Ovis aries: one gene and its partner. The protein of the gene in region 1 purifies or fractionates together with the protein of each later gene. This does not show direct contact. Links are inferred from orthologs where the notes say so. Each region holds a gene or a part of one and is shown on either strand. Other genes may lie near its edges.

The links. The genes of interacting proteins can lie anywhere in the genome.
Region 2: the proteins of ARHGDIA (region 1) and EZR purify together in Homo sapiens (co-purification; 3 studies listed by BioGRID and IntAct, with this or other methods). This does not show direct contact. The link is inferred for Ovis aries from reciprocal best matches to the Homo sapiens genes ARHGDIA and EZR.

Annotation. Positions count from the first base shown.
Region 1 is NC_056064.1:50,519,936-50,524,370, forward strand, and holds the start of ARHGDIA (rho GDP-dissociation inhibitor 1), read left to right. Parts: upstream 1-1,572; 5' UTR 1,573-2,316; intron 2,317-2,402; 5' UTR 2,403-2,528; intron 2,529-3,121; 5' UTR 3,122-3,148; coding exon 3,149-3,338; intron 3,339-3,439; coding exon 3,440-3,523; intron 3,524-3,887; coding exon 3,888-3,964; intron 3,965-4,043; coding exon 4,044-4,107; intron 4,108-4,222; coding exon 4,223-4,422; 3' UTR 4,423-4,435. UniProt on the Homo sapiens protein: Controls Rho proteins homeostasis. Regulates the GDP/GTP exchange reaction of the Rho proteins by inhibiting the dissociation of GDP from them, and the subsequent binding of GTP to them.
Region 2 is NC_056061.1:82,894,359-82,897,999, forward strand, and holds part of EZR (ezrin), read right to left. Parts: intron 3,192-3,641; coding exon 3,028-3,191; intron 2,816-3,027; coding exon 2,685-2,815; intron 2,071-2,684; coding exon 1,910-2,070; intron 1,570-1,909; coding exon 1,477-1,569; intron 268-1,476; coding exon 31-267; intron 1-30. UniProt on the Homo sapiens protein: Probably involved in connections of major cytoskeletal structures to the plasma membrane. In epithelial cells, required for the formation of microvilli and membrane ruffles on the apical pole. Along with PLEKHG6, required for normal macropinocytosis.

The DNA of each region.
Region 1 (4,435 bases):
TAGGTTGTGAGGGGCACTGTGGCTTTGTTTTGCGCACTTGCTGTTTCCCTGGCTCGGATTCTCTTTCTGAGGCCTCACTCCGCGAAAGCCAGCTGCCTTACAGAGAAGCCAGAAGCTGTGGGCAGCAGGGAACTAAATCCTCCAGCCAACAGCCTGTGAGGATCAGAGCCTCCTGCCCACAGCACGTGCATAAGCTTGGAATGCTTGCAGATCCTGAAACCAGGTCCCTGGCTCACAGTTCAACCACAACCTCACTAGACGAGCCAGAACCACCGAGCGGAGCTCTCCCTGATCCTCGGTAAGGACAGTGTATGTTGGTCGTTTCAAGCTGCTAAATTCCAGGGTTATGTTTTTACACAGCAATAGGTGACTAATATAACAGAGTTAGATAGTTTTCAAAAAGCACTTGGGTTATCGAAAAACAAACTTTTGCTCAGTCAGCGATTGGGCAATGTAGCAGGACGCAGGATGAGTGCGTCGGGGACTAGCCGGGCAGTTTTCAGGTGCGCCAACAGGAAGCCTCAAAAGTGTGTATGGAATAAATACAAGATTGGAATGCTCTGCCTTTGGCCAACTCAACTTTCTACATGTTAAGCTGACCATGTGACTCTTCATTACAGAAAACTCGCAAATATTCCCCCAAAGTTAAGACATTTCCAAAAGATACCAAGGTCAGTATTTCACATTAGGTTCTGTGACCTAAAACGCCCCCACCACGTGCAATCCAGGGGTGTGTGTTTGTGATGACTCGGGTGTGAAGCATTTGAGGTCTTGCACTCCGCGAGGAGGAGGCGAAGGAAGAAGAGATGCATGCTAGACCGGCGTTGGCAGCGCAGGCTCCGCCAGCCTGGCTACAAATCATAGGCCCGGCTTGGCGCTGCAAAATCCTCGCTGGTTGAAGGCGTGGGCATGTGTCCGATAGTCGCCACGCCTGGTGGCGTCTGGGCTAGGAGCTCCCAAAAGGGCGACCGCATGGTGACTTGGGCTGGAAGGGGAAAGGCCTGGAGAGAGCTATTTGGACACCCGTGGATGAACGTTCGACGATAACTTCCGGGAGGGCGGACATCGGCGAGTGGGCGCGAAGGCAGCCTAAGGCCGGACAGCTGCCACTCGCTGACCTCGGCTACTTGATGGGATCGGCTGTGCCGGCTCGTCCCCGCGGCGTGATGGCAGCGGGCCCTCGAAGGGAGAGATGCCCGCTGACGGAGACGCGCCCGTGACACACGCGCGTCCCAGCACCTCGCAGAAATACCATGCCGCGCTCAGGTTTCTCGTGGCGCTCAGCGAGACCATCTCACTTCCCCACCCCTTCAGCTTGCCGGCAGACTCCTGAGGATACCCGGGACTAAGAAAAGCCTGTGGCAAAGAGCACAGGAGCCCCAACCGGACAAGTCTCCTTTGCCGCGCTGCCCAAACGGACGCGCCCACGAGGCCGGTCCGCAAGATGGCGGCGGCGCGCTGCCGGCAGCTCCTCGCACATGCGCTATCCGCGGCCCGCCCGGCGCGAGCGGAAGTCGCGTGACCCCGGAAGTGGCCGGCAGGGCGCGCGCGGGCGGGGCGGCGACGTTCGTCATTCTGTGCGGGAGGGAGCGCGAGAGCGGCGCGGACGATCCTCCGGTGAGTGCGGGCGGCGAGGCCAGCGAGCGCGGTGGGCACGGCGGGCGAGGCGGCCGCGGGGAAGGAGGCCGGGGCCGCGCCTTTGTTCTCGCTTCCCGCCCCGCCCGCCAGTCCCGCTGAGGGAATCTGCGCAGGGCGGGGGCGGCATTGACAGCGGGCGGCGCCCCGGGCGCAGGGCGGGCCCACGTGCGATCGGGGGCGCGGGGATCTGGAGGCGGGGGCGCGTGTGCCGGGGGTGGGAGCCGGGGTCTGTGCAGACCTCTTTTGTGGTCGCTGCTCGTACTCGGCAGCCCCCTGCTTGCTGGTGCGCGCGGACCAGGGCCAGGCGGGACGCCTCCTCCCCTGGGAGGTGAGGTCCCTGCGCCCCACCCTGCTTGCCGGGCCTCGCCTGGCCCAGATTGCAGGCCCTGCGGAAGTGCGGGCCTCGCCATCGCACTTAAATGATTTTGTCGCCTGCGGCCGCGCTTGAGTGACGTTAAGGCGTGAGCCTTCTAGAGGAATTCCAGAGGAAGCTGCAGGGAAGCTTGGAAAGAACGAGCCGGCCCCACCCTGCCTGTGGCGGCCGGGCGGTTCCGGGTCCCCAGCGGCCCTTTGTAAGATCGGGTCCTCACGCACGTCCCGGCATTGGCTGTCTTTACTGGCAACCGGTGGCCCTGACCCACCTCCCACACCGCCGGGTCTAGTCTGAGTCGGTTTCAGGTACTCCTCAGGGATTCTGCGGGGTGCGACGGTCATCCTTAGCGAAGGAAGTCCTGTGGCTGCCCCATCACTTCTCGCTTTGACAGCATTGCTCTGGGCTCTTCTGGGGCCCGGGCGGAAGGAGGATCTTGAGACTACCCATCACATGGCTGCAGCAGTTCTCAAATTCTAGGTCACAGACCCTCACAATTAGAGATTGGTTTGTCGGACAGGTAGGGTCTTTTAGGCCATTTCAGGACTTACCTGTGGGACTTAGGCTAGCCCCGTCATCTGAGCTCTAGGGGAGACCTGTGTTTGGGCTGGAGGGAGACATGACTGACCCATGTCCTGCACAAAGGCCTTGGTTTGTAGCTGGGGCGTTTTTGAAGGAACAGGCTGGTCAGAGAGAACCCAGCAAGAGGGTTTCCTTGAGGAGAGGGCCTAGGCAGCTCAGAACAAGAAGCAGCACTTGGTCCTGGTGCTTCCTGGTTGGACCCAGGTGCTGCTGCTTCCTGGGCAGCAGGGAAGCTGTGCCTGCTTTCCTTTCATTTAGCTCTGGATGCTGGGGTGAGGTCCTGTGAGGTGGGCAGGGCGAGGAGGTGAGTGGCCCCTTTGGGCTTCAGGAGCCTGTGTCTGGGCCTTTTATGAAGTTCTGGCTGTCACTGCCTTCCTGTTAGAGAACGTGCACCTCCCCTTGGGCCCAGGTTGGGGGTTTGGCCACTTGCAGAGAGCCAGTGCAGACCACCTGCAGGTCCTGCAGAAGGGCAGGTGGGGACACACTGTGGGTCCCTCCAGGCTGCCGCAGCCCCTGCTACTCTGGTCACAGGTGTCTCACATCCAGCTAGAGGTGAGTATGGCTGAGCAGGAGCCCACAGCCGAGCAGTTGGCACAGATTGCGGCAGAGAACGAGGAGGACGAGCACTCGGTCAACTATAAGCCCCCGGCCCAGAAGAGCATTCAGGAGATCCAGGAGCTGGACAAGGACGACGAGAGTCTGCGCAAATACAAGGAGGCCCTCCTGGGCCGCGTGGCTGTGTCTGCCGGTAAGTGGGCCCCGGTGGGGTGTGTGGACACCTGTCGCTTTTCTGGGTGTCCGCCACTATTTCCCCTGCTGGCGGAGCTCTAACTTGCTGTCACTCTGCAGACCCCAATGTCCCCAATGTTGTGGTGACCCGACTGACCCTGGTGTGTAGCACTGCCCCGGGCCCCCTGGAGCTGGACCTGACAGGTGAGTGGCATCTCCAGGTTCCTCGCTGGGGCTGCCTGGCACCCTGCTAATTCCCCTAAAAATAATTTGTTGAGATGCTGGCGCCCTCTTGTGGGGAGCCTAGGAAGTGCAACCAAGTGATTTTAATAAGGCTCTGGCTTTGGTGTGGCCTGGGATTGGAGGGTGGGGTGTGTGTGGGTGTCTGGGGTGTGGCCTGGGATGTCAAGGGGTGTGTGTGTGGGTGTGGGTGTGTGGGTGTGTGTGTTTGGTGTGGCCTGGGATGCCGGGGGTGTGTGTGTGTAGAGGGGCAGACAGGGCACCCCACCAGGGCCGGAGTGGCTTCCCCTACCTGAACCTCCTAGTGTGGCGTTCCTCTCAAACGCAGGTGATCTGGAGAGCTTCAAGAAGCAGTCTTTTGTGCTGAAGGAGGGTGTGGAATATCGGATAAAAATCTCCTTCCGGGTAAGGAGGAGGCTTGGGGGGATGCTGGGGGCTCGGACTGGAGAGTCTGGCTGAGCCCCGCTTGTGTGCCTCCTTGCAGGTGAACCGAGAGATTGTGTCCGGCATGAAGTACATCCAGCACACGTACAGGAAAGGCGTGAAGAGTGAGTGCGGGGGCACCAGGAGGGAGGTGGCCACCGGGGGCTCAAGGGGCGCCGGGAGGGAGCGGGGAAAGGCCCGCCTCAGCTCCCTGACGGACGCCCTCCCCGTGCCCCACAGTTGACAAGACTGACTACATGGTGGGGAGCTATGGGCCCCGGGCGGAGGAGTATGAGTTCCTGACGCCCATGGAGGAGGCGCCCAAGGGCATGCTGGCTCGAGGCAGCTACAACATCAAGTCCCGCTTCACAGACGACGACAGGACTGACCACCTGTCCTGGGAATGGAACCTCACCATCAAGAAGGAGTGGAAGGACTGAGCCGGGAGGCGGG
Region 2 (3,641 bases), on another chromosome or scaffold:
GGCGCCCCGGCCCCGCCCCCCGGCCCTCACCATCAGCTGCCGCTGCACCCGCTCGTTCTTCTCGGCCTCGGTGATGCGCTTCTCCTCGTTGCGGTCGTCCAGGATGCCCTCGCTGGACAGCTCGGCGCTCAGCTCCGTGCCCTCCTCCTGCGGGCCCTCATGCACGTGGTAGTTCACCGGCTCGTACACCGGCGGTGGCGGCGGCGCGGTCATCACCAGGTGCAGCTCCTCCCGGGTCTTCACCAGGTCATCCTGGGCTTCCTTGGCCTTTGGAAGCAGGTTGAGAGGCAGGTGAGAACTTTCACAGAGAACCTTGGGCTTGAGTCCTTAAGAACCACCTTTTAACTGAAGGCCCGCTGTCCGTGCGGAGAGCAAGATCCTGCACCCTCCCTTCCTCCGCCGGCTGCATGTGGCGGTCTGCAGCAGCGCCAAGCAGAGGGCCAGGCTCTGGCTGACCTGGTGGCCAGTCCACCATTTGTGCAGCCGCCCCCGGGTCTGGAGACCAGGGTCAACTGCACCGAGAGAAGGTAGACACTTTTCTAAGTACTGTAACTTCTTTACAGTCCCCGTATATGCTTATTGTATATATTTTTGAAAAAAAAAAAAAAATATGATGAAGCCCTCCAGCCACTGAAGGGTTTTTGATGTTGCATTTTACTTTCCTCCAGTGGCCAGATGGGCGTTGCTTATCAAGCTCCTCCCTGCCTCTCAGCACATGGCTCACACCCATTCTCACCCCATAATCCTTCCAGCAGCTGGGGGGGGGGGAGGGGCCACGGGTGGAGGGGCACTGCACCAACATCCTGACCCTGGAGATGTGCTTAAGTTTGTACCTGTTTTGTAACCCACTTCTCTCATTTAATACTTGAGCACTTTCTTAAAAAACCCAAGGACCAGAATCTTCTGCACACAACTCTGGTTGGGGGATGGCAGTGAAGGTCCGTGCAGAGGAGGGGGCCACCGCAGGTGAGGAAGGGCTGGCGAGGGGGAGGAGCCCCACAGCCTGGCAGACGTCTACCCTCTGAACTCGATGGCAGCGCCCCGCCCCCGCCCCCACCCCAGGAACAGTCTGGGGGAGACAGGGGGGATGTGGTTCTATTACAGCCGCAACCAACTAAACCTCTTGGGGGGTGAGGGCACAGCGCAAGCCAGGTGTTGCTCGTCCTGGCTCTCCAACGGGGAACCGATCCTCTTAAGAGGTGAGGCCGCCCACCCATCGCACAGTAAGGAGTAGCCAGAGCTGGACTCGTGGGGGCTGGAGACCCCCAGGGTGCAGGTCTTCCCCAGCACCGCGGGGATGCATGTCCCGAGCAGCAGAAGGGGACTCTGGCCGTCCTGGGGCATCCACGTAATCTGACTTATAGCTAGTTCCTGACGGGGCATCCTGAGCCTGGAGGGTGCGGTCTCTGCTGACCCCCGCCCCGCGGTCCCCCACTGGCCGCCCACCCCGCACCCTCGCCGGCGCCCCGCGCTCACCCGGAGCTGCCACTCCTCCACCTCGTTCTCCTTGCGCCGCCGCGCCTCCTCCAGGAGGGCGATCTTGGCAGTGTACTCGGCGAGCTCCGTGGCCTGGGGAAGGAACGGAAGCCCAGATTATTTCCGGAAGGGTTTCAGCACGCCACTCGTGAAGGAAGGGTCACGTTTTGGTAGACAGTGCCCCATCCCTGGCCGGCAGGGTCCATCGCCCACTGTGTCTGAGGCTGCGACTCACCAGGGCTGCCGCGTCCACTCTCCTCCGCCCGAGGCCAGCCACTGCGGGGCTCCCTCCCCACCGGCCACCTTACACCCTCAGATCACTTTACAGCCCTGCCGCCGTAATGCACAAATGATCATCAGGCAGGTGTCAGTCACTCTGCCAGTCCCCAGGGGCAGCCTCCCTGTAACTCAGCACAAGGCCGGCGGCTCCTACCAATTGCTCCTGGCTCTTGATCTGGTCCGCTGCCTGCCTCTCCAGCTCCTCCTTGGCGCGCAGCGCGGCCAGGCGGTCAGCCTCCAGGCGCCCCGCCTCCTCCTGGGCCCGCTTCCTCTCCTCCTCCAGCTTCAGCGCTCTCTGGATCTGGTCAGAGAGCTCTAGAGAGAGCGCAGAACCAGAGCCGCTCAAGGTATGGTCGGGGACCCCTCAAGTCCTGCCCCGATTTCCCCCCAGGGGACAGGATGGAACCTGGGCAGGAATCACCCCCATGCTGTGGAGTAGGGGACCGGGTTTGGGGCCGCTCCTCCCAAAGACCCTGCGGAGAGCACTGGGCAACTGTTTCCTTGGGGCTCAGAGGACCACATCCCCAGGGTGAGGACACCCTCCAGGCTGGCTGACCCCTCGCCCAGCTGCTCTCATCAAGACTGCTCGCCCGCTGTCGGTTTAGAAGGTGGGCCGTGCAGCACGGCTTGGGTGAGCTTGGCAGAGCCTTCGCGAACCTCCGCATCCTCATCAGAAACGGGGATAATTCAAACGTCACCCCATCGGACCCCGGGGAAATTTAAAAAGATTACGTCCAGAAGCATTTGGCACAGAACCCACAGAACTAGCTTCTAATCCAAGTAACCACTTTATCATGTCTCTTCTGAAAGTCTCTACTTTGGGTGTGAGCTTAACGGAGAGAGGTCCCTCTGGGTTGCCTGTGTGCCCACTATCCGACCCTCCCATCACAACCGGACCAGAGCCCCTCCTCCCAGGAGGCCCCACCCACCTTTCTCAGCCTTCCTGGTTTTTTCCTCGTAGTCCTGAAGCCTGAGCATCAGCTCCTCCTTCTCACGCATCATCTGCTCTTTTTCTCTCTCCACAGTTTCTCTCCTCTTTTTCTCGGTTTCCAACTGCTGCCTGTTTCCAGGAGGGGAAGGTAAGCCTGGTGTCCACACAGCAGCCTGCTCGTCCCAGCCCCAGGCCTGTCCACCCGGCAGAGGACACTGGTGACAGCACGGACCTCAGGTGCCCTGATGGCTCCCCGCCTCAGGGGGCCCGCACACAGGGAACCGCCAGCCCCGCCCCTCACCATTCTGCCCCGCCCCTTTCCCATCGCCCCGCCCCCTCACCGCTCCAGCTGCTTCTGGTGCTTCTCCTCCCGGGCCTGGGCCTTCATCTGCTGCACCTCAATGGTGTCAGGCTTCCGGCGGCGCATGTACAGCTCATGGTTCCCCATGCAGAGCTGCAGGATCCGCTTGTTGATCCGCAGGCGTGGGGCGTAGAACACGAAGTCCTGCAGGACAGAGCAGGGCGGACTCTGACTCGGGGACGCCGGGCCTCTGGCTTGCTTCTCCCAAACCCGACCCCACCCAGTTCTAGATTTCTCCTGTAAAAGGCGAGAGACAGGGAAAGCCCCTGACCCCAGCAACGGGGTGGGGCAGTGGGGGCAGGTGTCCTCCGTGCCAGGGGGGGGGAGCATCCTCCAGGACAAGCAGAGGGATTGTCTGTGCCCTCACCGGAACCCCGCAGCTGGACCAGCGGCTGACCTTGAGGCTAACATCCTCCTCTGATGTCTCCAGCCCCCAGTGGCCCCATCTCTGATTCTTGCCTGGACAGCGTAACTTCTCCTATTTGAGTTTCCGTCTCCTCCACCTCAAGCTTTCACTTCCCACCACTGCCAGCACACCGACTGGGGCATTGCTGGAACTTCAGTGCCAGCTGGGCAGCTCCAGGAGCCCGTATG